Linked DNA regions of Diceros bicornis minor. The protein of the gene in region 2 binds, or shares a complex with, the protein of the main gene of each other region. Links are inferred from orthologs where the notes say so. Each region holds a gene or a part of one and is shown on either strand. Other genes may lie near its edges. The genes, in order: SMARCA2, ARID1B, SMARCC2 and SMARCD1.

Region 1 (7,579 bases), on a different chromosome or scaffold from region 2:
AAAACTCTCCCAAAAGTTATATAAACAAAGGAAGGGAGAAGCCCAGTATGGGCTTTGCACCCATGTGCTACTAAATTACATAACACCCGGTGCAGACATGAAAGAAGGAATGGATTCTGCACAACACCCCCATTTCCCTCGACTCCCAAGCCTGTCTCCTTCTCTTAAAAAATCCGAACGCCTGGCAAGACCAAGTGGACGACTTGGAATATTAATTTTATTGCTGGAGTAAATCCTGCGAGAGTTGGAGGCACGTTTAGGCCCGAAGTTTGAATGTGCAACAACCCCAAGGCGCAGCGACTCCACTCTCCGGACCCGGAGGAGAAAGAACTGACAAGCGACAGCAGCCAGCAAGGCCTTCTTTTTCCCTCTCACGGTGCCTCCCGCTGGAAAGTTTTCCACGCAATCGATCGGAAGACAAGGAGCCCGTTTCCCCCGCCTGCCTGACTTTGCAGGAAAGGCGAGCCGGCAGACCGGAGGGGGCCGGCAGGGAGAGCTGGAAAGCTCCGCACACAGCGGGGGGCGGCGGCGCAGGCTGCTTACCTGGGGGACGCCGAACAAAAAGAGGCGCGGGGCTGGCCGAGCCTGCAGTGGCGGCGCGGCCCGCGACCCAGAGCGGGTCTCCCCGCCCGAGCCCTAGGCCCGCGCCCGAGCCCGCGGCCCGGCCCCCGCCGCCGCTGCCGCTTCCTCCCTCGCGCGCGTCATGTCACGGCGATCAAACATGTCTGTGTGCGCTTCGCTGCTGTGACTTCCTGATTCTCTGCCGCTCGCGCGCGCACACTCACACTCACACTCACAGCCACACGCACACGCCACCCCCGCCTGCCCCCGCCGCCAAACCTCGCCTTGTGCTCCCCCGGCTCCCGGGGAGGGCGCGGGCAGGAGCGGCTGCCGGCGCCGCTGCTCCCGACGCACTGGCCCCGGCGCGCACAACACACACTCACACTCACGCGCAGACACACTCGCGCCGGCCCCGAGGGCGCGTAGACGCGAGCCGCGGGAGCCCGCCGCCCCCTCCCAACCCCCCCCACCCTACTTAGCAGCCTTGCCAAACTTTTTTTTTCCTGCCTGATCCACGTCCAACTTCCCTCCACCCCACCCCCCAGTCCGGCCAGCCCCGCGCTCACCAGGATCTGCTGCAAGCGGCAACCCGGATAAAAATAATAATGCAATCCAGGCGGCGGAGGCGGGAGCGAGCGCGCAGACACTGGCAGGAGGCGATTTCCCCGCGTGTACCGGAAACCGGCCCCAGTGCCCGGACCAGGGCGCGGGTGTCCCCTGGAGCCCGCACTGCTGCGCCCCGCCCCGCGCGGTGCAACTGCCCCCAGGCTGCAAGGCCTGGTGCGGGGCACCCGGGGCACCAGGATCGGTGTGCGCCCCGCGGCCGGAGGACGCCTAGGGGTTGGCGCGCAGGACCGATTATTTGGGGAAGTGCATCGCGACACCTTTGCAGATGGCATGGCCGTGTTTTGCAACGCAAACGGGAGGAGGAAAGACGGCCAATGGAGGGAGAGAGCAGAGGAAGGGGTAAACCAGGTTGGGATGGGAATAAAGCAAACTCGAAAGCAGGGAGCGAAAAGGAAGGGGTGCGTGTCATCGTTGGGAGGAGGCTCCCACCCGGTCTCCCCGCCTCCCGCCCTCGCCACCCACCCCCCACTCCTCTCCCCCACCCCCCCGCAGCCCTTCCCTTCTCCGGCGAACACCACCGCCGCTGCCCGGGTGCGCGCGGGTCCTGTTTGTGACAGTCAGGCAGAGAGGATTATCCGGATCATGGCCTCCCCGGCCCGCAGCCACGGCGGCTCTCCCGGGCCCCAGCGAGCCCCTAGCTCCCGGACGATCGCGGACGACCCACGCCCGCGGTTCCCGCGGCTCAAGCTAGGGGAAGACGCAAAGCAAAACAAACCCGGGGACGGGGAGGGCAGGGTAACTGAGCCCGGCGGGCACCCCGACCTCCTTCTTCGTAGCCTCCTTCCTCCCTCCTAGCAGTGCGGCCCGGGCCGGACACCCAGAACTTCAACATCCGAGCCCGCGCGGCCGCCAGGTACCAGGGGCAGGGACGTCCGCAGAGCCCCGGGTGCAGCACCCCTGCAGCCCCTTCGCCTAAAGGCCTCCCTACCGGTCAGCGTCCCCATCCCCGCCCGAGGGAAAGCGCAAAGTGGAGGTGACACCTCCGATCCGGCACGCACCGGCCCCGCGGCAGTGGCTGCCGCCTCCTCGGCGCGCCAGCTCAGGCTTCTCCCGCCGCGATCCGCTCGCTTCTCCGCAGCCGGAGCCCTTTAAACAAGTCCCCGGGAAGCGGGTGGCAGCCGCGTTCGTTGGCGCCTCGCCGCCAGCCTGGGCTTCTCGCCCTCCTCTCCCGCTCCCCTTCCAACTCTTCCGGGAGGACTGCTTGGGATGAATTGTCGCGTTTCCATCCTCCTCCCCTGTCCTCCTGCCTTCCCCCTCCGCCTCAGTCCCCCACCCCCGGCTTTTAAGGGGATGGGGGGATTGCAACCTTGCCGAAGGTGTGTGTGTTGCAACCTTGAGTTGGCAGCGCATCGCCGACTGGCTACCCAGGGTCAAGGCTGTGGTTTGTTGGGATTTTTCCCCCTCGCCTCCTTGAAGTAGTAATTATTACTGTTATTATTAGAACAGCAAGGTTCGGTTGAAACTTTCCCGTTTCTCCCACCGCCGCCCTGGAGCTGTCGTTAGAGCATTCCACCTGAGGCCCGCGGGGAGGAGGCGGGCTTTTTTGTGGTGGCGGTTGGCCCGCCTGTTTGTTTTGGTCTCCGTGCATGCACAATAAATAATAATTAGGATAATAATGAATAATCCCCAGCAAAGGCGGCGCGGTCCCGGAGGGGTTTGTGCGGCGGCGGCAGCGGGGAGACCGGAGGGAGGGGAAAGAGGAAAAAGGAGTTGTAAGTTATATTTACCTTGCTCGCGAGGAGTGTGCTGGCTGAATCTCTTCCCTCTCTGAGTCACCCAGAGTACAGAAACAGAGGGAGAGAGGACTAGATTATGAATATGACTTCATTGATGACAGCCATCCCCTCCTCTTCCTAAACTCGGGCTCCGCCCCGCGTCCCACCCTCGCCGCCTCCACGGGCGCCGGAAGACGCACCGCAGTTGGCCCCACGCGCCGCTCCTCCCTGCCCGCCCGGGCGCGGGTTGGCGGGACGCGCCTGTCACTCGCCCCGCTCAGCGACTCCGGGAGCTCGGGGGGAGGAGGGGGCGGTGTGCAAGAATGTGGCTCGAGACAGCTCTACTGTATGCGTGGATCCGTGTGTGTCTGCAAGGCGCCGGCTCTCGGGCCGTGTTTGTGCCTGGAGCAGAGAAACTGCGCAGGACGCAGGCAGCCCCAAGCCCTGATGGAGTTGGGCGCCGGTTATCCCTCTCCTGGCAGTACTCTTCCAGGGGCGCTGCCGAGCTCCTCCGGGGAGTCTGGGGAAGCAGAGCAGGCAAAGCGAAAGGGAGGGCAGCCGTAGTAATAGCGCGTAGTAGTTTGGGGGTATGTGGAGAAGGTGCTGGAATTTAACTGTGCCTCCGCCTGCCAGAGCCAGCCTGCAGAGGGAAAGGGAGGGGACAAGGGAAGGGCTCTGAGTGGCACCAAAGCTGTTTGTGACACAGTGTTGACCATGAAAAAAAACAGGCATTGTCGTGCCGGCTGAAACTTTTTCTCCCCCGTCCGTCCCCCGCCCAAGGCAGTAATTATAAATCTGCCCCCACTCTCCCCCGTAAAAAGGAAGGCCGGCACAAAGAACATTCCTGCCAAATCTGTCTCTTTTCTAAAGGATTGCAAGCTTCCAAATGCCAACGAGGGAAAAACAGCTGAGAGGCTGAACGCCTTATAAATAAAGAAGCCTGCCCTAACCCCTCTGTTTACTTGTGGACCAGACACAGCCCTTGAACCTTCCCTTACCTGTCATCTTCACGTAAAATATATACAAAAATATGGAAAAACAACCCCTTGGGGGCGGGGCGGGCGGGTTAGGGGGCAGTGGAAGCATGGCATCTGCATTTGATTTAAGAAGGGGAATAAATCTCTTATTCTCTACACACCATAGTCTCTTCTCTCCCACCCCACAGTTAAGACCAATTAAGGCTACCGACGGTAAACTGCTGGTGTTTTGCGGTTTTGAGACCTCTTGTTTCAATTTTCCGTGAAATACAGCACTTTGGCCGGACGATAGGTCAGTGTTTGCTGAGACAATTTTATTTTTAGCTTTATGAAGTGTGAAAGAATGTTAGGAGATTTTAAATCAGGGGCCTATTATTTTAGACTCAGATTAATGTAGGTGCTGGATTCTTAAAATTAAAACTGTTCCTGTATGGTAGTGTTATGAAAAGTATGATTTATCCCTTATTTTGTAATGTACTGGTTTAAATTAGTCATTCAAAGTGCACTGTGACTATTTAGTTGAGGATTTTTCCCCCTAGAGTAAAATCCTACTTTAAGACTATTTTACTGTTGCAAAATTAACTCTATTTGAGCAGTTGAGTCTGAAATGCAGTTCTAGGATGCTTAAAACTATGCACTGGATACGTTGAAGACAAGAAGCAATGGAAGGAACACCAAAGCCCTCATGTGGTCATTAAGTGGCTGGAATTGTTTACGTTGCTGGTCCACTGCTGGCAGAAGTAGAATCTGCAAGGGCACCATTGGGTGGCCAGGGGTGTCAATGGTCACCCACCCTGTAGGTTTCTCAGGCCTTGTTCCTTGCTTGTCAACTTTAGCTTCATAATTTTCTCTCTATTCCAAAGTGAACCTCAAAACAACAAAAGATAACCCATCTCAGAGAAATAGAATATAGCATGCCCTGAAGAATCTGTTGTAAGAACTTGTTTTTCTGCCTGAGGATATGCCAGTGTAACTATTAGCTGGGAAATATACGGCAAGAAATTTTAAACAAAATTAGCAATGTAGTAAAAATATAACTTCTAACTGCCTAATAAAATGCAACTATTAATATAGCCAGATAACCTAGTTGCCTATAAAAGGGCTTTAACCTAATGGCAATGCTTATTACATTAGGTAATATTAGGTTTTAATTTTTTCAGGCCAAATTTGTTTCCGTGGCATGCCAAACTCCCATGCCGATTTTCGTAAATTGATGACTTCACCTTTATTTCCTTGTGAATGAGTGCCCTTTATTCCTTTACGATTCCACGTTCATCTGCCATGCCAAATTTCAAAAAGAGAGCAATCATCTTAGTAAGACACTGGAGGAAGAGGCTGGCTATTCTTTCTGGCATTTTGTCAGAGGGAAAATAAAGAAGAAAACACTCCCTTTGTTACATGTGTATATTCTTCAGCTCATATAAAATTTTGATGCAGTACTTGGAAGGATTGGTATCCATGCATTATATGCACAACTTTGGGAATTGAAAAATAAAATCTATTGCTAGGAACAGAGATTAAATATAGATATTGCATCTCCTTTTCCTTTCACATTGGTCTAAGAAAGCACTACCTTCTTCCTTCAGGTCTGTCCTCTGAAGAATCCTCTTTTCTGTAGCTTGCACTTCAGCAAGTAGAAGTTTTATAAAATAAGGCCTATGCTCAGGAGAAATGAAAAGGCAGCACCATTTACTCAGTAAGAAAAGAAGTTTGTAGAACATATTGCATGAGCTTCATCTCTGAGATAAAGCTAAATTTAACAAGTGATGTTAAGGAGGAAAATGATGGGGTTCTTTTGTTTTGCAGAAAATCACACAAAAGCAAATATGGTTGGAGGCTAAAAGGACTCCAGGAGGCTGCACGGGATGCTAGATTCACATGAAGCTTTTCCTTTTGGACTTTGATGAGTCATAATGTATTCTCTGAACTTGCTTTTCTCTTTCTAGTTTGGCATCAAGGGATAGAAGTCACTTTTTCGTGTCTGTATGGCCACATTCACTTGTTATATAAGTCTGCTTTGGATCATGTTCTGAATAGAGTAGATATTGGGTTTGAAAACTGGTATCTTGTTACAACACCCCCATAAAGAAAAACTCCATGCACAAAGTTAGGAAGCTTCTACTCCCACCAGGCAAACTGTTCATGCCGGGTGAAATGTTGCCTGGCTTCAAATAGGAGCAAGTAAGACTATTTAGGAAATGAGTACTTCATCTACAGTAATGGAAACAAAACTTTGACAAAGTGAATCAGCCGACATTTAATTTAGTGGAGAGTTTAGAATTAGCAACTAAATTTATTACAGAAATAAACACTCCTCTCTCTCCTTTTTTCCAAACCACAGTCTCAATAGATTCTGTTTCTCCACAATCATCCCTCCAAAGTACCACCCCAATTCTGTTTGTGGTCATATCACTCTCTATCCTAAGAGTCTTTGTCTATTCCCGATCCATTATCTGATAAATTTCAGACTTCTTAGCATGCCATCCAAGCCTGTGTATGTTCAGATGTCTGCCAGCCTTGTTGACCTCATGCAATTGCCTGAGTTCTGGAAACCTGGTCCACCTTCTGGTTCCTAAGGGGCCATGTTGGATATACTTCCCGCAGACTGAAATGTGGGTTCCCAATCCACATCCTCCAAGACTCAACTCTGGCCCAGCAGCCTTCCAGTGGCCCTCCTTACCCTCCCCAGGCAAAGGAAGCCACTTGTCCTACTCTGCTCCCATAGCAACCTGTGTGTACCTCCGTTACAGCACTTATCACTTTGATGCGATTATTTCTTTGGTATCCTCCACTAGATGGCTAGTGCCTGGAGGGTGCAGAGCAAGTTCAATTCATCTCTGAAACCTGAGCAATTAGCCAGATGCCTGGCATGTTGTATGTTGTTTAAAAAAAAAAAAAAAAAAACTTTGTTGAATGGAAGGATGAGAGATATATATGAAAAATATCTGCAATAGAGAATTTAGCAGGTCTTCTTTTATTAACCATCATGTTAATGAACAAGATTACTAAGTATTTAGAATCTTTATGTTATTTTCCAAGCTGAGAAGGCTGATATGCTTTTGGTTTTCCCTTTTGCTTTGTTTTGGGTTTTTTTTGTAGGGGGAGGTAGGATGTGAAGTGAAGCTACAGCTCTTGCAGTCACATAAAGAGCATGGAAGGGAGGTTTTGTTTGGTTCATTTTTAAATTAGTCTAGGAGTAACATGAGTGTGTACATGGCAATTGTTTAATAGAGTAGTAGTAATTATAATAGCAGCTTGCTTTTATTTCTTCTTTAAATCAGATGCCAGTGTTTGTGCAGAGACCTCTATATATGCCATTTAATCCATTTGACCCTGTGAGATATGTGATATTATCCCCATTTCGCAGATGAAGACATGAGAGGCAGTAAGTAATTTGCCTAAGGCAGGGGTTTTCAAAGTAGAGTGGGCAAGACAATTCATTGTGATATGGCAAGAACGTTAGAAATTTTATTTCTTTTTCCTTTAATGATTAAAAAATGTAATGATGTAATGACCCCCCACCCCCCAAAAAAGAGCTTTATAAATGTTTATTATACTCATTGACCCTAGAACCTTTACATGGTCCCTAAGGAAACTGGTTGTGTGTCAAGTATTGTACCTAAGGAATACTTAGAGAAGTGTCATAGGCAGAGGGGTGATAGTGGTGTCCCCTTTGGTTTTTTTCACTTTCATGGCATT
Region 2 (7,171 bases):
ACAGCAAGAGCGCAGGACACTTCCTAATAACGCAGTAGGACTCGGGTGACAGCAAATTCAAGAAAATCCAAATAAATCCGATCCCAAAAGATCCATTTTCACTGCTCTGCTATTTTCCTGCACTTGCTGAATAAAAAGTGTGCCTCGTCCATGATCAAAATAAGTTCAATTTAACCGGAATGTGTTGCTTGAACACAGCCTCTCTGTTGAAGGTGACTCCTTTCAAGCAGCCTGGGCCAAATAATGGATTTCCTGGCTCTTCTTAGGAACGAATAGCTATATTTTAGAATATTTTCCCTCCACATCGTCGTAAATGCGGGTCTCATTTTTGCTACCGAACCGTCAAACTCAAAGCCCCGCATCGAATGTCTCGGCATGGCTGGGCAGAACTACGGAAAACATCCTCGGAGGCCACAAAGCTAACCTATTTTGCCTGCCTCCACCTTGTAAGCTAAGAGGGAACGCAGTGGGGCCGGAGGGAGGACAAAGTTCCCCCTTCTTTTCCCAGTTCCAGCTTATTGTTGGCGCGAACCGGGAAGACCTGGTCAATATCTCCGTCCAGCCCGCACTGGCCGGGAGCGCCTGTTCGGTTACAAAAGCGTCGCGCCGTCCCCGACTCCCGCACGCGGGCCCCGCGCCTGGGCCGGGGTGGCGAGGCGCGGCTGCTCGGCCACCGGGAACCCCGGCGCCCGGCCCGGCCCGGCCCGGCCCGCGGCGAGACCCCCTCCCAGGCCCCGGGGTCCCCCGGCCGCGCGCCCGGACATCGTGCGCTCCCCGGCCTCCGAGGGAGGCAGCCGCGAGTTAAGATGGCTTTGGGCGCCTCGCCCCCGCCTCCCCCGGCAGAGGACGCGGAAAAAGTACGCGGAAAGAAAGAAACTAGGGCTCGCGGCGCGCGCCCAGGCCGCCGCGGCGGAAGCAGGCCCGGCCGGCGCGGGGGTTACCTGCGATCTGCCCATGGTCGGGCCGGGGGTGCCGGGGCTCATCGCCGGGTGGCTCCTTTGTTGCGCGGCCGCCCAGGCCGGGCTGGCAGCGGCGTACTGGGCGCCCATGTCCTTGCCCAAGCCCATGCCCGCGGCCGCCTGCTGGCCGCCCGCCGCCGCCCCCGCCGCCGCCGCCGCCGCCTGGGACTGGGGCTGCGACGGCGGCGGCGGCGGCGGCGCGCTGGGGCTGCTGTAGTCGGGGTAGCTGCCGCCGTAGCTCCTCATCATGGGGCTGGGCGAGGTGAGCAGCTGGTTGAGGGTCGGGGTGGCCCCCGACGGGTGCTGGTTCTGCCCGGCGAAGCGCTGGAAGCCCCCCGCCGCCGCTGCCGCCGCCGCGCCGGCGGCCGCCTTGCTGAGGCTCGCGGCCCCGCCGCCCCCGGGGCCCATCATCATGCCGCCGCCCTGCTGCCGGGGGGAGCTCAGCACCCCGTACCCCGAGGACGAGCCCCCATAGCCGCCGCCGCCGCCGCCGCCTCCCGCTGCTGCTGCTGCCGCCGCCGCGGCCGCCGCCGCCACAGCTCCCGCTCCTGCTGCTCCTCCTCCTCCTCCTCCTCCTCCTCCGCTGCCTCCTCCTCCTCCGCCGCCGCCGCCGCCGCCGCCCGCGCTGGGCCGGCTGTAGCCCGGATAATGGTTGTACTGGCTGTTGGGGTACCCTTCGTGGGAGTTCTGCAGGGGGTCCATGCTGTTGGGGGCCCCGGCGGCGGCTGAGGCGGAGTGCATCATCCCCATCCCGGGGCTTTGTTGTCCGCCATGTTGATCAAAGCAAGGCCCAGCGCGGCCGCCGGGGCCGCCGCTAGCAGGGGCAGCGCTGCCATAGTAATTGTTAAACTCCGGGACGGCCGCCGGGCCGCCGCCGCCGCCGCCGCCGCCCCCGGGCACGGCGACCGGCGGCTGCTGCGCGCCCAGGGCGCCCAGGCCCGGGTGCTCGTAGCGGCCGCCCGCCGGCTCCCCCATCTTGGGCGGCGCGTCGTCCTCGTCGCCCGGCTTGCTCAGCAGAGGCTGGCCCGGGGGGTCGGCCTGGCTGCCCGCGGCACTGTCCTTGGCGCCTCCATGTTGCGGCTGCTCCATGTCGGGACCGGGCTGAGCCGCGCCGCCGCCCGCGCCGCCGAGGCTGTTGTTGTTGGAAATGGGATGTTGCTGCTGCTGCTGCTGCTGTTGCTGTTGCTGCTGCTGCTGCTGCTGGAACTGGTTTAGCTGCTGCTGTAGTGCGTGGTGGTGGTGGTGGAGGTGGTGGGCATGGTGGTGGTGGTGGTGGGCATGGTGGTGGTGGTGGTGCTGTGCGGCGGGGGCTTCGCCAACGGTTTTCAGTTTGTGGTTGGGGAGCAGCCCCGTCTCCATGGCCGAGCCCGGGCCCGCCGAGGAGGAAGAGGACGCCGCCGCGGAGGAGGAGGAGGAGGAGGACAGCGCGGCGGCGCTTCCAGCCTCCTTGAGAGCCGCCTCGGAGCCGCCGCTCTTGGCGCTGTTGGTGCTGGCGGCGGCGGCCGGCGCGCTCGCGTTATGGGCCATGTTCAGTTCGTGACGGGGGTGCAGGGGGTGGTGGTGCACACTATTCAGGCCGCCGCCGTCGCCGCCGCCCCCCAGCATGGGGCCCGGTGCCGCCGCCGCCGCCGCCGCGCCGCGCGCCCCCGCCTCCAGGTCCCGGGCCCCGGGCGCCGGCCGCGGCCCGGGGGGCGCCCGCCGATCGCCGCTGCCCGCCCGCGCCCGCGCCGCCGCCGCCGCTGCTGCCCGCGCGGCCATGATCGCCGCGGCGTGGCCAGGCCGGGCGGGGGGCGGGGGGAGACAATAAAACCCACTTTTTAGGCGGCGGCCCCTCCTGTGCGCATCCACGCGCCCCGACGGGAAGCGAGCGCGCCCCCTCCCCCTCCGCAGGCCCCGCCGGAGCCGGATCGGGAGTCACGCCTTACGGTCTGGGCCCGTTCCCGCGGGGGGATTTCATGGTGAAAGTTTTGAGTTCAGGTTTAAATGCAACTTTTTTCCTCTCTGCCCCGGATCTGGGGAAATACACGCCCGCCGGAGCCTCCCGGGCCCAGCAAGGCAGGAGAGGGAGCCGAGCGAGCCGAGCAACTATTATCCACTTCTCTCTGATGACTCGGTGCACTCGCAAAACGCGGACTGGACTCGGCCCGGGCCGCCGCCGCCCGCCCCGGCGCAGGCTCGCGGGCACCGGCGGCCCCGGGTCGGGGGCTCGGGCCGGCCCGGCGGGCGCCCGGGGCGCGGCGGCGTGGGGCGCCGGGAGGCTGCACCTTCCCCTCGTGCCTGCGTCTCCTTGCCGACCCGGCGTTCGCGTGTTTGTTTTCACGTCGGAAAGGCACGATCCAGAGGTGGAAAACGAGTCTGACGAGCAGACAAAAGAGGGAGAAGGGCTGGGGAACAAAGTTGCCGGTCGGCCTCGAAGGTTCCGAAGAGCCGCCGGAGAAAGAAAATATTTGGGCGATCTGGGCAGAAGATCGCTGCCTCGCCCAGGAGTTATGTAATTTTTCAGAATGGGAGCCTCGCTGTCTTGATGGCGGGCCGTCCGCGTAATTCCCACAACTTCTTCAAACTGCAAAATTAAGGGAGAGTTTAAGGGAAGGTTAGCCGCCTTCAAGGCGCGCTGTGCCCTGTACACAGCAGGTACTCAATACATGCGTACGATTGCACCTGCCCCAAAAATAATGTTGATATAACTTTTTAAAGGCACTTTATGTGTGTGTAGGCTTATCAATGAAAACTCAAAGTATTCCCAAAGGAGCATACAATGCACATGTCTGTTCTCTGGCTAAAGGGAAGTCCTCAAGTATGCAGAGCGGTGTGTTATGCTCCCAAGCACTTGCACATGGAGATTGAACTCTTGGTGCCATAATAGCGACAGCTAAGGTTTATCTCATATCTTCATAAATCCGTATGACACCTTTCATCATATTTCAGAGGTTAATGCTCACAATTAACCCTCTTGATGTGAGTTCATATCTAAGCAATGTGAAACAAAACTAAAACAAATACATGCTATATTTAATAAACATAAGCTCAATAATATCAGTCAAATCTAATCCTAGAGCAGAAATGTTTCATACTTTGTTCTTTTCAAAAGACTATTGTTTTATCACATTATGATATTTTAAGTGTTTTTATTATTGGAGATTCATCACCTAGGAACATTTTGAATTATCTTTACTAGCAGGACTTCTTAACCTAAGCAATGGCTCAGTTGTACTAGTGTGGACTCAGTTTTCATCCAGAGAAAGGCTTTGAAACCAGAGCTTTCAAGAGGTCACTGTAGCTGAAATAATATGTATGATTTTGGTAGAATGTAGTTTTCTAAAATAATTTCATTCTTAAGCTTTTCAGGAAGGCTCTTTTAGTTGATTTCAACTGCAGTGGTTATTTTTGTTTGCTTGACCAAATGCAGGTATGTTACATGACTAAATAGAAAAGGATAGATGGGAAAAACTGGGGACTAACTGGGGGGAAGGAGAAATCAGGGGAATCACCCAGGAGTCATTATAGAGTGTAGAAACAACAAATTGAATTCTATGCAAACGACTGAGAAACGGGTTATAGCATCATGTGTAAGAGAGAATAACAGAACTGTAAGATGAATTCATGCCAAATCATTCATCAGTTTTTGCCAAGAGAATACTACATCTTTGTTAGTATACCTTTTTGACATTTTCTCCCTTTATATATTCAAACCCATACTAATTATATGCATTACAGCACATAAGTTGAATTTTTAAAGTTTTTCATATGCAAATATAAATACGTCTGTTTTGTGTATGTGTGTATATACATGTATTCTAAAACCAATTACATATTTGTGCTTTTAGACACTTATAGTCAAACTAAATATATACATACAATCATAAAAGTATATTTTTTCTCACTGATAAAATATATCAAAGTCAATTCATACAAGTGTAGCCATATTTGGTGGCTTATTTTCACAGCTAATCCTAAAAGGGAAAATGAGTCACCAAGTTCAGCTCTGGCCCGTTTCTTAAAAATATTTTTTCATGTGGATAAATCATGAAACTAAAAAAAAAAAAGTAAGGATATAAGTTGAAATCTCTTTTAATTCCATTTGCTTCTGCAAGTCAACTAGAAGATTGGAACCAAGAGGCTATGAAGTAGAGGCCCTCAGCACAATGAAATCAATCTGCTATAAAAGGCGACACATGCCAGCTTCTCCTCCCGGATGGCAGGTGCCACACCCTAAAACAGACAGAAGGCACTGCAGTCTGTAAGAAAAGCACAACACAAAGCCAGCAGGACTGGGTTTTGTCTTTTAAACCACAGAGAATGCTCAAATACCTTTTTTAAAGCATCTTGCTGAAGATAAGTAGTGGGATCTGATTTATTCAGCTTGTACTTTTCAAACACACCTTCTCAGGAAAACAAAATAAAAGCCTCTTAGAGTTCGCTTTGAAAATCCAGGACTTAATAAACAAAACGGCAGTCGGCCAGGGGTCTGTTTAGAAAGTGAGGAAATAGGTTCACATTTCACAAAAGCACAATTTGAACTATAGATGATCCTTTCTGTTGTGTCACTTGCCTTGATTATCCTATATGGCAATTCTACATTATTGTTTTTTGGATAATATAAGGTACTAGAAACCACCATGTTCATTTTTCCTAATGAATTCCTTATTTCTACACCTCTTGCCTAAATTTCAAACCATAATGACAACTTTAGTAAGTTACTCCAGCCACAAGGCAGCCTCGCAGGTGGAGGCCCAAAAGCTGCCGAGTGGCTGCACTAGGCTACAGCCAACTCCCACCCACGGGTTGCCCCACGCCCTCATGTTTAGCCAGAGGATTACCCATTATTTTGTTAAACATCCCTTTTTGGCTACAAAAGGGTTTTGGTGGGTTTTTTTAACTATATGAAAAATTAATATTCAAATACTGCTCCTTCTGAATAAGTTTTAGGGTGCTGAATAAAAGCCTCTTCAACTTGCCCACTTAAAGAGGATTGAGCCAGATGGTAGTTTAAGAATGCCACAGCTCTGTTCTTTTTGCCTCATCGTGGCCCATCATACTATTTGCTTTCAGATTAGCCCCCTTTTGACTGTTCTGGTTATTTATTCGATAACTGAAACTAGCACGATTCACTACCCATCATATTTCTCAGTATTCTTTCCGTAATTTGGAAGCAATTTAGAATAAAGCCCTGTCAAGGTTTTACAAATAAGAACTATTAAAGAATAAGGCTTTGGACACTTGCTTTCCTTTTAGATTTATGAGAAATGCAATGAATGGAGCTAATGGGATTTCCCTACTGATCTTGGTCAGAGACTTTAAAAAGCACTAAACAATTGTCCTTTTCACTTCTCCGATTTAGACGTTAGCAGTGAATAACTGAGTAAAAGCAAGATAGGGCATATAGCATTTGATTTGAAACAACAATGCAAATTAACAGTGGCCTGTAAGCTTAGGATGCAAAACAATTAGATAAGATTGAAAAAAATCTGGGCAAAAAATAATTTAAATATATTTGGGAACCCTGACCAATGTAGCACTATTATACTTACTAAGAGTATTATAGTGGGGATAATAAACCTGGATGAGGATAAACTACACTTATTCATTCAACAGATTTATCTAGAATCTACTTTGTGACATGCCCTGAGAATAAAAAAGATAAATATTAGCTTGGTCTTGTCCTCAATAGGAGAGAGAAATAATTATCCTAAAACACACTCAGGGCTGCCCTGAAATGTCACGGAGGACTTGGCCAGTAAAGAAACAAGCTCTGGGGCTGGCCAGGTGGCGTAGCAGTTAAGTTCGAGCTCCGCTTTGGTGGCCTGAGTTTGCAGGTTCGGATCCCGGACATGGACATAGGCACCGCTTATCAAGCCATGCTGTGGCAGCGTCCTATATAACGCAGAGGAAGATGGGCATGCATGTTAGCGCAGGGCCAATCTTCCTCAGCAAAAAAAGGAGGATTGGCAACAGATGTTAGTTCAGGGCTGACTTTCCTCACACACAAAAAAAACAAGCCCTGACTTCCCCACCCAACAGCATCCCCTGCAGCTGTGCCCCGTTGGCTGCCATTGGCCGGGCACCTCGCCCTAATCCTCAAGTCTGGCCTGGCTCTGATGTGACACTGGGAACCCACCACTGCTGGATCTGGACTTCCAGAACCTTAAGTCATATTGAACATTAGGCTGCTACAATTTCTCTCCAAAGTCCCTAGAAACATAGTAACACCA
Region 3 (7,106 bases), on a different chromosome or scaffold from region 2:
CTCACCATCCCTGGTCACTCTTGAATTTGTAGGCAGCTGCAAGTATGTGGCACAGGGAGCCTCCCGCTTTGAAATCTAGGAAACATTTGATCTACAAAATTGAGACAGGAAAGAAGGATGTGAGAGTTACACCCTAAATTCTCTTATTACTTAACAATCCTTTCACAAAATCCCATGCTGAACTGGTCTCCCTCTCAAAGCTGGAATGCTTTAACTCCTGGGCCACTGTACCATGTGGCCTGGAAGAGGGGAGAGACAGAAACCAATATTCACAAAGCCCCACCTTTGTGCCAAGTACTCTGCTGGGTTACCTCATTAACCATTACAGAAACATTAATCTCATCGAGAGATGAGGGAACCATGACTCAAAAGGTTTAAATGGCTTGCTCAAGATCACAGAGACATCAAGTGGCAGAGCCAGGATTTGAACACAGGCCCGTGAAAATCCAAATCTCATCCCCTTTTAACCATGCCACGGGAGTTCATGTATGGAGCTCAGACTCTCTGAGATAACCTGTACAAAGTATTACTGCACAAAGTATTACTAAGAAAATGGGAATGGTAAACTGGGGAGTAAGCCAAGCCAACAATGCCCTACCAGATACAGGGATGGTAGGAAATGACCCAAATCTCAAAAATCATAAAATTTCCAAAAAAAACCAAAACTCCCTCTCCTGTTGGGAGGATTCGCCTCCTTGCTTTTGTACTCACCGGCAGTTTAGTGAGTGGTGCATTGCTGACATGTTTGCCAAAAACTTCCTCCTGAAACTGTAGCAACTGTACAACCAGGCTAGACAAGGACTTGTTGGTGGGTGGTTCAGCTTGTATATACTGGGAGACAGAGGAAAGAGAGAAACACAGACCCCAGATAAATTGTCCACCATCTCCCTTATTCCTTCCTCAGGAACTCTGGAAGCATCTGGGGCAGAGAAAATAGTGTTGTCTTCTCCCACATGTCTAGTGTCCAAAGGAAAATAGGAGAAGGGAGGCCCTAGATGCCCCTCACCAGGAAGTTGAAATTCTGCTGCCCCCAGCCTAGGGGGCCAGCGTTGGGTGCTGGGGGTAAGGGTTGCTTCCTGAAATTGGAGTTGCATGACCCTGATCTCTAGCCAACAGCACTGAGGGTTATGAAATTCTGAAGGTTCGTGGAGTTCAGGCCATGGAAGCCACACTTTCGAGGCAATGGTGTATTTCTCGGGGTAACTCTGTGGAAGGTCAAGATTTCCCCTATAATGTAGCCTAATAAGAAAGGTACAAGGAAGCGAGTAGGGCAAACAGACTGAGAGAGTGAGCTTGTGCATTCTGCTTCTGCTAGGACCCAGCACAAGCTTCTTTGTAGCCCCCGCCCCCCAAAGATGGGAAGGACTAGCTACTATCCAGCCTAGTGGGAAGAGAGCAAGACAACATCTGTCCTGTCGGAGGAAACTATATCCGAGACAAGCAACCCTGGGCTTCTTAAACATTTCTGTATTATGCTACCTAGCATCCTAGCCTTCTGTTCCAATTTAAAACTGAGCCAGGAGGCTAACTTTCTCTTTGCCTTTTGACCCCTGTTTCCTCAACCCTAATCACATCACAGAGAGGAGTGCTCCTCTCAGCGGGAGGTGGAAACAGATCCTTGAAGGAAAAGGTACAAGACAAAGAGCTAAGAGCTTGAAAGCTGAACCAGGTCACAGGCTGTCAATCCCCCCAGGGCCAGAGACTAAGCCCCTAGACTGATCTCCTTTCCAAAATGTCAAAGGGAGAAGCCTGGCAACCAGAGCCTCACGCTGGGATACAGACAAGCCACAGACCCAGCAGCTGTTTGTCAGGATGCTGACACCCAGAGAGACCTCCGTGAACAAGGCAAGGCTCAGAACCAGGATCAGAGGGGTGTTCTCCTCAACCACCCATCACACTTCTGACAGGCTGCAAAGCTCAGTAGCAAGAACTGGGGAGCTGAAGGGAAGCCAGAAAGAGAGCCCCTAACGGGGGGTGGTAGAAGCGAGAGAGGCAGACTCTCTCCAGAGAAAAATCTTATGTGTAGATGTTCCTTTCAACCAGGCGGAAAGACAAAGACAGCACTAGCAAGAGCTCTGGTGGAAAAGACAGGTAAGGTGTTTCCAACGCTCTGTTCACTACCTGGTTATCTCCAGTTATCGGGTGGGGGGCTAGAGATATACAGCGTGTCCTAGCCTCTGAACCCCAAACCCAAAGCAATGCAAGGCCAGGTGGTGGGGTGACTTCATTGTGAAGCTGAAGAAGGGTTTAAGAAGGAGTCGCTGCCCAGCAACTCCTATAGCCTGGCTCCCGAAGAGGTTTTGTTACTCCTTGGATGGACGTGGGGGACCGGAGGCAGAGACAGGTGATCCCAGCGTGGGGGCCTTTTTCAGGCTGATGAGCAGCCAAGGGCCTGCTCCGTGGCTGTCTACCCTCCGGCTCCCATCATCTCTCTCCGAACATACACAAAGCACCAGGGAGGCCTCAGCTCTGCTGGTACCTGGCTCCGCGGGGAGCTCCGGCGGGCACGGCGGCGGGCACGCTCGGAGGGGGAGGGGGACGCCCATTCTGCACCCCGTCCACCCGCGGCCTCTCTCCCGGAAAAGCCCGGAAGGCGATGGCTCAAGGGAGGGTGGGCTGCTGGCACGGGACCCGCGGGGGCAGGGGAGAAAAACGAGGGGCAGAGGGCGCAGCGGCGCGGGCGGGGGCTGCGATCCCAGCCGGCGGGCGGCGGCGGGAGCGGGGGAGGGGCGCGGGGGCCGCTCCGCAGGCCGCGGGGGAGGGGCCGCGGGCCGCCGCGGGTGGGCAGGAGCCGGGGGCTGCGGGGGCCGGTCCTTTGTCCCGCCCCCGGGCCCGCGCGGCCCTGCCCGCGTACCTTCTTGTAGTTCTTGCCGAGCCAGAGCCGCACGTTGTCGAACTGGGTCACGGTGTCCGCGGCCTCGTAGTACTTCACGTTGGGGCCGCCGTCCTTCTTCCGCACCGCCATCTTCTCGGGCTCGGGCCCGCCGCCGCCGCCCGCCCCGCTCAGCTCAGCTCCCGCCTCCTCCGCCTCCTCCTCCGCCCGCCTCCCGCCGCCTCCCGCCGCCGCGGCCGCCGCCTCCCGCTGCCTGGGCCGGCCCCGGCCCTCGCAGCGCCCCCTGCCGGCCGGCCGGGCGTGGCGGCGGCGAAGCGCCGGGCGCGGGACCGACCCTGGCGGCCTCCCCGGTGGCGGCGGCGGCGGCAGGAGCCTTGGGGAGCTGGCGGCTTCCTGGAGGGGGCGCACACTCTCTGAGGTCGCTCTTGACCTGACGCGAAGCCTTTTGGCTCTTTTCGCCTCTCAGCCCGGGGAGTAGGGTACCTCTCTATCCTACCCCAGGGGGACGCCCGTCGCCTGAGGAGCCCCCAGCCCATGGCTCCGAGTGGTCCTCACCTTGCACATTCCTGAGCCCGCGGAGCCCCTAATCCCAGGGACCCCCAGACCCTTTCCCCAAGAAGTTCCTGCCTTCCATCCATCCCCAGGAGCTCGCCGTGTAAACTCTTCCCGAGTCTCCCTCGCCCCTAACCCCGCACCCCCTCTCAGCCCTTAACCCGAGGAGTCCCCCGGGCGCCACCCTGGAGGCCCAGCCCCTTCCCTCCGACTGCTTCCTCTGCAGGCCTCGCCATCGCCTCCTAAAGAGCTTTGCCCTCCTTGAGACCCTGAGTCTTCGAGGGGCGGGAGACCCTCCCTCCCTGGGTCACCCGTCCACCGGACTTTCCCCGAGTGGCGTGGAGGAGAGGTAAGGAGCGGGCGGGAGGAGGTCATGGGGTGTGTGCAGGACTTGGGCCAGAGTCCTCCCCCGGTCGCAGTGCGGACCCCTCTGTAAGCGCGCGGCTGAAGGAGGTTTTGGAAGTCACGGTGGCCGAGTGGTTAAGGCGTTGGACTCGAAATCCAATGGGGTTTCCCCGCACAGGTTCGAATCCTGTTCGTGACGGCCGGTTTTTTTTTCCCTTTGAGGACGTGTAAAGGGAACTCCTTGTCTTCGCGTGTGTCTTTCGTGCAGTTCCCTTTCTGTCTCGGAAATAGAAGCCGAAAGGTCTCACTCTCGGATTTGGGGGGATGGGAGTGATCACGGGAAGCTTAATTATGCACAACTGTATTGGCTGCTAGGATACAAGGCACTTGCAGAATTCTGTAACTTCAGGTTTGCGAGCAGAGCTTTGGCATCCGTTGTTTCATTCTTTTGGGAGGGAATAGGAAAGGATTTGGTTGAAGAGGGGTTAAGTTTTATTTGGGAATGTGACTGCCTGTTGTGCTATAATAATCAAAACTGGAGTTTCCAGGAGAAGAGGACACCTCTGGATTTCATGACCAGCAGTCACATCTTGTAGGTCTGATTACAGTGAAGACCCAGGAAACAGGGCATTCTCTCATTTGGATTTCCTTGAGGAGGTGCGCCTCAGGTACTGCAGGGCTGGGGGGAGTAGCCTGTTGAAACATAAACACTGCAGGTCTAGCTGGAGCTCTAGTGTGGGAAGATCACTGTCACTTTTTATTGAGTACTCATTGTGTGCCAGGTACTGTTCTAAATTGTGTATTAACCAAGCTGGGGAATAAATCTCTCCACCAACCTCTAATCCTCCAACCTCACCCCATTCTTCCTATCCCCCAGTTTCTGATTGTGGGGAATATGTAGGATGTTCTTTTTGTATTTCATTTCTTGCACGGCAGCGTCTTCTCCAGGAAAGATCCCTAAAAGGCAGGGAGTTCAAGGGTAATTCATAGAACTTTCTATGCTTTACACCATTGTTCCTGCTGTTCTTTCCAAATCACCCCCACCCCCCTACTGTGATCACTTTCCATCTGGCACATCCTTGGACCCCTCCTTTTTTTTTTTTTTTTTTTCTGTGAGGAGGACCAGCCCTGAGCTAACATCCAATGCCAATCCTCCTCTTTTTTGCTGAGGAAGACTGGCCCTGGGCTAACATCCATGCCCATCTTCCTCCACTTTATATGGGATGCCACCACAGCATGGCTTAACAAGCGGTGCATGGGTGTGCGCCCGGGATCCAGGCCGGCAAACCCCGGGGCGCCGCAGTGGAGCACACCTAACCGCTTGGGCCACCAGGCTGGCCCCGGACCCCTCCTCTTTGAGGCTCTGAATTACTCCAGCTGGAACCTATCCGTCTACCACCACCATCCACTCGGTTGCATTGCAAGTCATTTCCTTTGACACACCTCTGCAAAAATTAACAAAATGAAAACGAGTTATATTTACTCTACCTCCTAAATATGTCTCAAATCTGTCCACTTTTCTCAGGGGTGAGTGCAGGCTGGACCTACCAGTTGCTGGAGCTTTCATTTGGAAAGTAGGGGTAGTTGTGAGGACTACATGAATCAACAGATGTAAAGTGCACGAAAGCATCCGCACTGTAGCCAGAGACCATCAGCCCCTCCATGGCTGCGTTTTGTGGTTCGTGACCTGGTCCCTGTCTCTCACTGCTCTTCTGTATTCACTACATCCCGTCCACTGGCATTCTTTTAGTTCCCGGTGTAGTATTTGTCCGTCTTCATGCCGTTCTCGGCCTGAAATCATCTTTCTCATCCTCACCTTCTACTCAGTCTCCACTTAAATATCAGTTCTCTTAGGAAGTCTTCTCCAACCACCTGTCGCCCGCCACATCCTACGTCCTAATCTTATTATGTGAAGTCTTTCTTCCCCTGTAGAATATAAACTCTTGGCATATATAAGCCACTCAATTGAAAAAGAATCTTTGCTGAATAAATGGATGTTTTCTACAGTAGTTCTGTGTACGTGTTTTAATCTTCACGCGGACTGGACTCTAAGCTTCTTGAGAGTTAGGATTGTGTATTTTATTTGTTCGTATCTCCCCTACTAGGCCTTACACATGGATGTAATCAAATATGTACCGAATGAACGAATAGAACCTAATAGGCTCGGTACTCCTTTTTGCGCATGCTCTCAGATTTAACTCTCTGGAGAGCCAAGACTAAAATCGACCAGCAGAGGGCAACCGACAATTACGTAGTGATAGGAAGCCGGCTCCAAGGTGTATAAAATGGAGGACCTGGACGGAAAAGAAGCTGATGGAGGTTGCCTGGTACCTGGAGATCCTACCTTTCGCTCTCAAATGCTTCCCTTGTAACTTTCGGGGATGAGAGGCCAAGGCCTCGAACCTTCATGTACAATAGATAATTTCAAATTTTTACCATCCCTACAGCCCACCCCAACTCCCCAATTCCTTCACCCTTTCCCTTTCCATTCCAACAAATCCTATCTATCCTTATATCGTTCTTTGCGTTGCATGAGCACCCTTCTCTCTCTCCTCATTCTTACATGTTTACTACATTCCATCCACTGACATTCTTTACTTACTGGTTCAGTATTTGGCCTTGTTCATCTGACCTGAAGTTACCTTCTCCACCTGGGCTTGCAATCCCACTCATTTCAACCTCCCAGAGAACCTTCCATAAATATCCTTCCATAACACATTCAGATTCCCCTACTCCACTGGATCAATCCTTCATTAATTCAGAACAAACAAAATTACACCTGCATTTGACACTTCCAAATCACCACGTTATTTTCTACTTCCTTTTATTTTTTGAGTAAAATGTCTACCTCTGCCTCCAGCTCCATACTATCTTAATCTCTCTTGTAGAAACCTTTGCTATGTTTGAAACCATTGATTTCTTATTGGGCTGTAGAGACACTGTACTCTTGTTTTTCTCTTAGAATACTATTTCTCCATCTCATTTGTTTTCTCTCTCCTTCTGTGGAATTCTACCAAAGCTTCATTCTTCTCCCTCCTCCCAAGACAAAAATCCTAAGCCACTGTTCCAGGCATGGCCTCTCAGCCAAACTGTGGTCCTCTATCTCCAGCTGCCTATGTATATGTCTCCACAGCTGACTTAAGGTCACCTAAAATGCAAACAAAACTTCTCTTCCTTTCCCAGAATCACATGCTCAACTTTTTCCATTTCTGTTAATACTATTTTCTCAATTCCATGTAGTTTCCAACCTTAAGAATTATCTGACATTTTTCCTCCCATGCCCATCATTCATCAATCATTGCTTCCTCCATCACATCATCTAATGCATGCTTTTGTTACAATGGCCTTCCAGGTGCGCCAGTTTCACACTTAAATC
Region 4 (7,885 bases), on a different chromosome or scaffold from region 2:
ATTTCCCCAAGAGAAACGAGGCAAGTTAAGCCAAATCGATGCACATAACAAAGCGAGTCTGAACAGAGAAAAGTCTGACTCTAGAGGGGAAATGAATCACAGGCAGTAAGCAGCCAGAACAAAAACAGCTTTCTTTGGATGGAATGACACCACCAGCAGATGGACTGGACCTATATAGAAAAGAAGGAGGCTGACACTGAGCCCTGGTTCTCCTGCAAAAATGCATTCAAATTAGCTTGCCTGTGAATAGCTAAAATAGAGAGCCAGAGAGTGTAAGGGAATGAAAGGTGAGATTCCCCAAGGAGCTTCTGGGGTGGGAAGTTTGGGGGCTATCACCTGTCTGCTCATGTTCCCCACGAAGCAACAAAGAGCCTGTCAGAGAAATCTATCCCACTTAAACTGTGAGATGTCTCCAATGAAAGTTGGGAAGATGGAGATGCCAGTGGGAATCAAGGACTCAGAGAGGAAAGCATGGCCTCAAATGCTCAGTGCAAACTCACTTGATTAAAAAAAAAAAAACAAAACTTAATTGAATAATCTGCAGATACTGCTACATCCCAATGGCCAGCGGCATCAGGAGGAAGGTAAACAACAAATCAAATCCCAGGACAATAACGTTCTTGATATGATACCACAGTGAGGGCCAAGCTGTGGGAACCAGACACAAAGAACCATTGTCTTTTAGTACAGGAACACTGTGACCTCTCCCTGCTGTTCCCAACAAGGGCTGTGAGCACCAGTAAGGCTTCCTGCCAATCAGACAACACTGCTTGTTCCCAGCAGCTCCCACCCTAGATGCCAACCACAGTGGACCTTGAACTCACATCTTCCAGGAGCCGTCCTTCTACCCGAAGCTCCCAGGAAGCCACCGTCCCTTCCCCATCCTCGGCATCTGACTTAGCCGGATTGAAAGTGTTAGAAATGAAAATTCGCAGCTTCCGTTTTTGCTGAGGAAGGCAGAAACAGGATTGATGGTGGGGCTTCAGTGGTTTGATGTTGAAGACAAGGGTCTCCCCAAACCCCAAAATTACTCCTAACAGGAGTACTGTCTACCCAGTCCCTGGGGTGGGTGGATGGAGAGTCCATCTAGAAGAGGAGTACTGGCCATTGGCCTGAGTGCAAGTGCATACACTGGGATGCCAGGTGGACAAACTCACGCAAGGTGCCAGGTTCCTAAGGCGGCAGAGCTGTTAAAGCAAAAACCCGGAGAGGGTACGTTTCTGGTGCAAGAGATATCAAAAGCCCCTCCCCCTTTGCTATCTGTTCTCATGCTTCTAATGTAACACTCAGTTCGTAGGCGGAAGGGAGAGATATAATTTAAATGCCAAGGAGAGCTGTGCTGCGCCTTTGATTTCTCATCCTGAGCCTAGTGAAGGTTCCCGAGTCCTCGCCTTTGGCTCTCTGTCTAGCCCTCTCCCGAGTTACCTTGATGGGACGTTTCAAAGCCTCCTGGATATCTAGCCGTTTCCTCATGATAGTCTGGTCCAGTTTCCTTTCAAAAGCCAAGAGATCCATATAGGCTTGGGATTCTGGTACCAGTTCACGTATCTTAGAAACAGAAAGATATCATTGGGATCTAGAGCTGACCATCTCTATTCTCAAACCCACCACACCCACAAGAAGACCTAAAGCCTGGACTCACCCTTTGAGGTAGAATTTTGTCAGCCATCTTCTTTTTCTTTGCACTGTTTAGAATAAATACTGTTATCAGGTTGGGATGGAACTAGCCAGAACATGCAAACAGGCTGTCAGCACCTCCATTTATAGTAAAGTAGAGAGACTGCAAAGCTTCTCTCAAATCAAAGACATCCCCCTGCCCCCAACCAACATGAGGCATTCTCAAGAATGAGCACCCATCTGCTGACACAGCACCACTGCTTCTTGGTTCAGGTACTCCCACCACCTGTGTCCTCACAGGCCTCAGGCCTCCTCCTTCTCCTCCTCCCTTCTCCCTCCCTCTGCCCTGAGGCATCTTACTTGTGATTTCGGTTTTGGACCGCCTGCTGCTGGACCTGCTGGATCTGCTGAGGTGCAGGTCTCTTGCGGGACTGGTCCATCCCTGACTGGGCCAGGCCAGGTCGGACTGAAGGGTTCCCCCCATAGCCAGGGGGTCCCATGGAAGGTCCCTGAGGTGTCATTCGGCTGCCTGGCAGCATACCTGGTCTCTACAGAGAGGAGAGGACCCAGAGATGTCATGGCTTCCCCTACTAACCCCACTAATAAAGGTAAAGTGGGGGATGGCTGAGTTCTTTGAATGAAACAAGGCTGGGGGTGGGGTGGAGCACAACAGGAGGGGAGCCTTCTCCCTCTTTAAAACATAACTGGAGCTTCCTCTGCTCCAGTTGTGATTCCATAGGAGAGTACAGCCCAAAAGCTAAGAGATAATCAAATTATACTCAAATTCTCCCCAGCCAGTTTTTTATGTGACACACTGGACAGCTCTCCTAGTCCTACATTTACTCAGCACTGTAGCTGACCTCAATTTGCCAGCTACACCTTCCGTGTTCCTGTGGGCACTGGAGCTGCCCAAGCCCTTTTGCACTCCAGCCCTCATATGCCCACCATTTCATCCCGCGGGTTCTATACCCTGACTCCCCACGGAAACAATACCCCTAGAAGCAGGTGGGGATGCTAAGTGCCTCCCCTCCTTTCCTCTGCACTGTCTCCCCTTACCCCCACTCAGGGCCCGAATCCCTCCCAGGGGAGGTCCTCCTACTTCTCCCCCACCCCTGTCACTCCCAGGCCCCCGCTCGGCCCCGCCCCCGGCCCGCGCGCCCCTCCTCCCGCCCCACTCACCGGATAGGCCGCTCCGGGCATCGGGGAACGGTACAGCCCTTGACCCGGCGCTGGGCCCATTCGCACAGGAGGTCCCGGAGTCCCGCCTGGGCCCAGAGCAGCCGCCGAGCCGGCCCCTCCAGAGGCTCCGGCGCCGCCGCTCGGAGCCACAGACTGGAAACCTGCCCGGGCCGCCATCTTCCCCGGAGCCTCGGCTGCAGCTGCACAAAGAACCGGAACCGGAACTCCCCCCGCCCCCCGCGCGCCCCCCGCGCGCCCGTCTGTCCGCCCGGCCGGCCTGCCGGCACGGGAGGCTGGGGGCAGCGAGACTGTGGGCTAGAGGGGGGCGACTAGCGGAAAAGGCGTGCTGACCACTCCCTCCCCCCCTTCACGGTCCGGGAGGGGAAACCATCGAGACGAACTCGGGATAGAGAGGCCCTGTGAGGGGGCGCCCCCAGGCGACGGGAGGAAGACAAGGACTGGAAAGGGGACCACAGCCCCAGCCCCAAAGCTCGGAGGAAGAGGGTGATGGAGTGACTGCTTCATCTTGGCGCGGTGCATTTAACTTCCCAAAGCGCTTTGATTGTTTTTTGTTTGTAAGCCCGGGGGGCTGAAGAGGAGAATGCACTGTTTATTCCATTTGACAAACACGAAAGCTGAACTCAGAGTAAATGATTTGGCAAAGGTCAACTAACAAGTTAGCCGTAGAGCCGAAGCCTAGAATCCAGATCTTGTGGCTCATAGCTTGGGACTCATTCCACAGATAAAGTGCCTCAATAACTACCTCACCCTAGAACTTCAACCCAACTTTGTCCCTGAACTTTAACCTAACCTGCTTCCAGATTTTAAGTTTATTTTGAATTTTGACCCTGCCCCCTCTCCAAAGAATCCTTTGTGATAGGACTTCTCTTTGGGATCTTTGTTGCCTTTGATGCCTCTCTTTCCCTGCCCAGTGGTTCAAACCATGCTTGGTGTGATGGTCAGCCTGTCCCACCCCAGGAGGACCAGGGTCTCCCTGCTCAAGCCTCCTTAACTCCTCCCCTGATTGTTTGGCTCCAAGCCAAACTCAGCTCTAAGCACTTAGTGGGAAGGCCTAAATACTCTTCAAATAAGAGAAAAACGACACTGAAGAGGAGATGGTTGAAACCCAGTTTATTAGACCAGAGGCATGCGTCCCCCATAGCCCTGCCTGCTGTTCCCCATCTGGTGCACACCCCTTGGCCATGCTCCTGCTTCCTTCTGGAGAGGTCTGATCTCTAAGGAACTCCTACAAACTAAGAGTTCCCAAAGATCCTACAGCCTCCCTCTCCAGCACCAGGCCAATGCACAGGTGACCTACTACAGTTCCTGTTCTGGGGTTGGAGACCAAGAGACAGCTGGGCAGAGAAGCTCTGGGAAGGGGGAGGGTTCTGGCCTGGGAGGAGTGTCTGGTGGAGGGGGCGTGGCGAGCCCTCTACCTCACTTATGTTTCTCACTAACGTAGGAAGAGAAGGACAGAAGAGCAGAGCTTTCAAGCTCCCCTCTAGGCCTGTCTCTTTCCTCCCACTACCAAACCGTACCTCACCAGAAAATATAAGTGGTGGGCTTGGATGTCAGGTGAGGAAAGGGGGCTGTGCACCCAGAAGGAGGGAAAGGCCACTGACTAAGGACCTCAGCTTCTGCCTGTCATCTGCACCGCTCCAGCTGCAGGAGTTACCAATCCACAGCTTCCTCTGTCTCTGACACCCTTGCCTTAGTGTACAGAGCAGATCTCCATCCCTTGGGTGAGGGCTTTCTCTGCAGCAACTCCTTCCCTGGGGAGGCCACCATCAGCCAGGCAAAGGACTTTGGGCTGGGTGGAGCAGGGGAGGGAATGTTAAGGCTGCAGGGAGGGCAGAGGGTGCCTGGGGTTGGGGGAAGACGGTGAGGCCAGAAAGAGGCAGAGCTTGTGATTCACAGCTTCCTTTATGTCGCCACCGAGACAGTGCGAAGGTTACAATGCGCGTGTCGTCTCCTTGTGCTTCTCAGAGGGATGTGTGTACACAGTACAGACACCAGGGGAGAGAGTCCAACTCTTTATACAGGTGAAGGCATTCAGAGACCAGGGAGGGGGCAGAAACACAGAAAGGGGAACTTGGGGTGGAAAGATGGTTCTTAGAGACAAGAGGGGATGGGGTATAGACAGACAGAGTTAGGGGAAAGTATATACAGAGATATAGCAATATAGAGTCTGTATCGTATAGAAATAGAAAATGCAGATGAGGTTGTTGAGAGAAGCAAATGAAGTTGGGGAAAAGGACTTGGGAGAGTTCCATAAGAAAATTTATGGATGTGGCCCTCTGCAGGGGCCCCTGGGAGAGGGACCAGTGAGGTTAGGCACCAGTGCCCCTCTCCCTGAGCTGGAAGCCAACTAGCTGGATCTTTTATGGGTGATAGAGGAGGGCTGCCTCTTGGGATTTCTCTCCAGCAGCTCTGGGGTGGGGATGAACTTGTAGGTATCAGGATGTGGCCAGAGCACCAGGGCCACATCTTGCCCCCATCTCCACTTCTTCAGGGGATCCCCCACCTCCCAAGAGACTTCACATGGTGGTGTTGGGGGGACTAGGGTCTTAGTTCCTGCCTGGAGACTTGGTTGGGGGGGGGGGTCAGTGGGCTGAGAGGGTCTCTTAAGGCTGGGGAAGTCCCCCCCCACTAGCCCTCCCCTTCAAGGTACATTCTCTGGTTTGGGGCCAAATTCCAGACCCCAAGGATCCCCTCCACCCCCCACTGGGAGGGGGCTTTGGTGACTGGTGGCAGCAGAATGTAGGTGGACACTCAGACGACAGACAGCCAGACAGACAGAATTCAGGCTGGGAGCTAGGGGAGGCAGCATGGAGCAGAGAGGGGCAGCCTGAGGTCACTTGCCCGTTCTCTCTTTTTAGTTTCTTTTTTAGATTAGTTTTGTTAAAAATAACAAGAATGGGAGAGAGGCAGGGAGAGGACTCTATGGTCAAGACTCTTTCCTCACCACAGACAAGAGGAAAGGACTGCCCAGGAGTTGGGGGCTGCCTCGGGAGCGGGGAGTGAGTCCCCAGGGCAGATGCAGGGGGCCAGCTGGGGGCCCCCTTGCTCTCCTAGCCCTCCCCATCTAGGCCTTTGGTACAGTGGCCTGCAGGGCTCAGCAGGTAAAGTCCTCAAAAGTGCCTCGGGCCGGATGGTGAGGTAGGATGTTGGCAGCGTATGTCATCCCAGCAGGATGGCCCCGGAGGCTCTCACACGGGTTCTGGGGGAACAGCACAAGACAGCGACTGGTTATCCGAAGGGCCACAGGTGACGCTGGGGAGTGGGGGAGGCAAAGGAGAAAAGGTGGCGGGGGCGGGGGGGGGGTGGTCCTAGGGTGGTGGGGGAAGGGGCAGGGCTGGAGGGCGCCCCTGTCTCTCTCTCTCACGTGTCTTTTGACGTCATCCAGGCTGAGGGCCACGCCTTTGTCTGCACTGTTCCTTTTGGTCTCCTTCTGGCACTTCCCTCGTCTGCACAGCTTGTGCTTAATGACCTGGGAGGGAGGTTGGGGTGGAGGGGTGGGCGGACTGGAACCCTGCCCCTCTCGTGGCCCCACCTCCATCCCCACCCCCGCTTACCTCGTAGGCGTAGTCAAAGAGCTCCAGCACCGTGAGGATGCTGGCCCCGATAAACAGTCCCATCTGGCCCCCAATGTCACCTGCATGGGGGACACAGGGAGGTCAGTGGGGTCAGGACACCGAGGGAGCAGCAGAGCTCACTGGGACAGGGGCAGGCAAGTCCTGCAAAAGCATCAACAGCCTTCATATAGAAGGCGCACAAAGCAATTCTGGTGGGATTTTTATTTTCTTTATGCTTTTCTGCATTTTTCCTCCTTTTTTTTTTCCCCCAAAGCCCCCCCAGTAGATAGCTGTATGTCATAGTTGCATATCCTTCTAGTTGCTGTATGTGGGACGTGGCCTCAGCATGGCCGGAGAAGCGGTGCGTCTGTGTGCGCCCGGATCCCAACCGGGCGGCCAGTAGCGGAGCGCGCGCACTTGACCGCTAAGCCATGGGACCGGCCCTGCATTTTTCTACTTTTCTAAAGTGAACAGGTATTATTCAGAAAAAAATAATTGTTTACAAAATACTCCAACACTCTTATTCTCTGGGCAGATTTTCCAGGGCATATGAAATAGTCCCATGTTCACGCCCACAGGCCTCTTCAACTTTGCTCTAACAGACAGCCCATCTTCCTCCCCCCACCACATACCCAGACAACAGAGTTTGGGGAAAGGCCCCGGGGGATCGCAGGGGAGGAGGAGCTCATGGGACACTTCAGATGGTAGGGTGTCACTCCATGCCCATGGCATGGGAAGGGGACAGGTGCCATCAGCAGCTCACCCAGGAGCCCTGCAATCTCATAGGCCTTCTTCTGCTCAATGGTCTCATAGTTGAGGACTTCAAAGAAAATGTCCAGCACGAGGATGTTCTCCCTGCAAAGGGGTTGGAGGAAGAGACCTAGGTTCAAGTCACATCTCTGTCCCTTACTAGCTAGGTGACCTTAGCAACTTATCCTCTCTGAATATCAGCCTCCATCTCCATCAAATGGGATGCTGATGGGGATACCTGCCTTCTGGGGTTGTGGTGAGGATTACATGTGGTGGTGTATATGAAAAGACGCTCTGCACACTGGTAAGTGTGAGGAGGTGATTCCAGTTATGGCTAAGAGGATGAAGATAGAGGGTAAAGTGAGGAGGAAAGAGAAAAAGGTGCTTCCTCTGCTTGTTCTGACTTGATCTTCCCTCCACGCCCACCCCCAGACTCTTTGCTTGCCTTCCCCATGTTATCTCAACTTCCTCCTCTCTGGCAGCCCCATCAAAGCCCACTCATACCCTTCACAGTCCCAGCCCAAGGGCCGTGTCCTGCTCTTACCCTATGTACTGCTCAGACTTGTTGAACTTCTTGGCCAGGTACTTAGCTGACGCTTTGCTGGGGATCTTGACCATGGACAGCTCCTTGCCATAGCGGGTCAGGTTGCAGGGCATTTCACACACACAGTACTCCTGGTCCTTCTCCACCAGGAAGTCTGCGCCCAGTCAGGTGAGAGGCGCCAGTTGAGTGGTGCCCTTCTGCCAGCACCTTCCCAACATAC

Evidence for each region.
Region 1: ARID1B (region 2) and SMARCA2 share a complex: the UniProt entries of both Homo sapiens proteins name them as parts of the neuron-specific chromatin remodeling complex. The link is inferred for Diceros bicornis minor from reciprocal best matches to the Homo sapiens genes ARID1B and SMARCA2.
Region 3: ARID1B (region 2) and SMARCC2 share a complex: the UniProt entries of both Homo sapiens proteins name them as parts of the neuron-specific chromatin remodeling complex. The link is inferred for Diceros bicornis minor from reciprocal best matches to the Homo sapiens genes ARID1B and SMARCC2.
Region 4: ARID1B (region 2) and SMARCD1 share a complex: the UniProt entries of both Homo sapiens proteins name them as parts of the neuron-specific chromatin remodeling complex. The link is inferred for Diceros bicornis minor from reciprocal best matches to the Homo sapiens genes ARID1B and SMARCD1.

What each region holds. Positions count from the first base shown.
Region 1 is NC_080761.1:26,385,946-26,393,524, reverse strand, and holds the start of SMARCA2 (probable global transcription activator SNF2L2), read right to left. Parts: upstream 3,016-7,579; 5' UTR 2,916-3,015; intron 2,354-2,915; exon of another isoform or gene 2,187-2,353; intron 1,229-2,186; exon of another isoform or gene 1,128-1,228; intron 1-1,127. UniProt on the Homo sapiens protein: ATPase involved in transcriptional activation and repression of select genes by chromatin remodeling (alteration of DNA-nucleosome topology).
Region 2 is NC_080778.1:12,667,704-12,674,874, forward strand, and holds the start of ARID1B (AT-rich interactive domain-containing protein 1B), read right to left. Parts: upstream 3,012-7,171; 5' UTR 2,718-3,011; coding exon 942-2,717; intron 1-941. UniProt on the Homo sapiens protein: Involved in transcriptional activation and repression of select genes by chromatin remodeling (alteration of DNA-nucleosome topology).
Region 3 is NC_080756.1:12,583,330-12,590,435, reverse strand, and holds the start of SMARCC2 (SWI/SNF complex subunit SMARCC2), read right to left. Parts: upstream 3,019-7,106; 5' UTR 2,966-3,018; coding exon 2,855-2,965; intron 832-2,854; coding exon 712-831; intron 92-711; coding exon 6-91; intron 1-5. UniProt on the Homo sapiens protein: Involved in transcriptional activation and repression of select genes by chromatin remodeling (alteration of DNA-nucleosome topology).
Region 4 is NC_080756.1:19,739,491-19,747,375, forward strand, and holds the start of SMARCD1 (SWI/SNF-related matrix-associated actin-dependent regulator of chromatin subfamily D member 1), read right to left. Parts: upstream 3,012-7,885; 5' UTR 2,974-3,011; coding exon 2,797-2,973; intron 2,166-2,796; coding exon 1,978-2,165; intron 1,686-1,977; coding exon 1,643-1,685; intron 1,549-1,642; coding exon 1,426-1,548; intron 948-1,425; coding exon 825-947; intron 1-824. Other genes in the region: ASIC1 (acid-sensing ion channel 1), read right to left, coding at 5,912-6,016, 6,182-6,286, 6,372-6,451, 7,135-7,226, 7,666-7,819. UniProt on the Homo sapiens protein: Involved in transcriptional activation and repression of select genes by chromatin remodeling (alteration of DNA-nucleosome topology).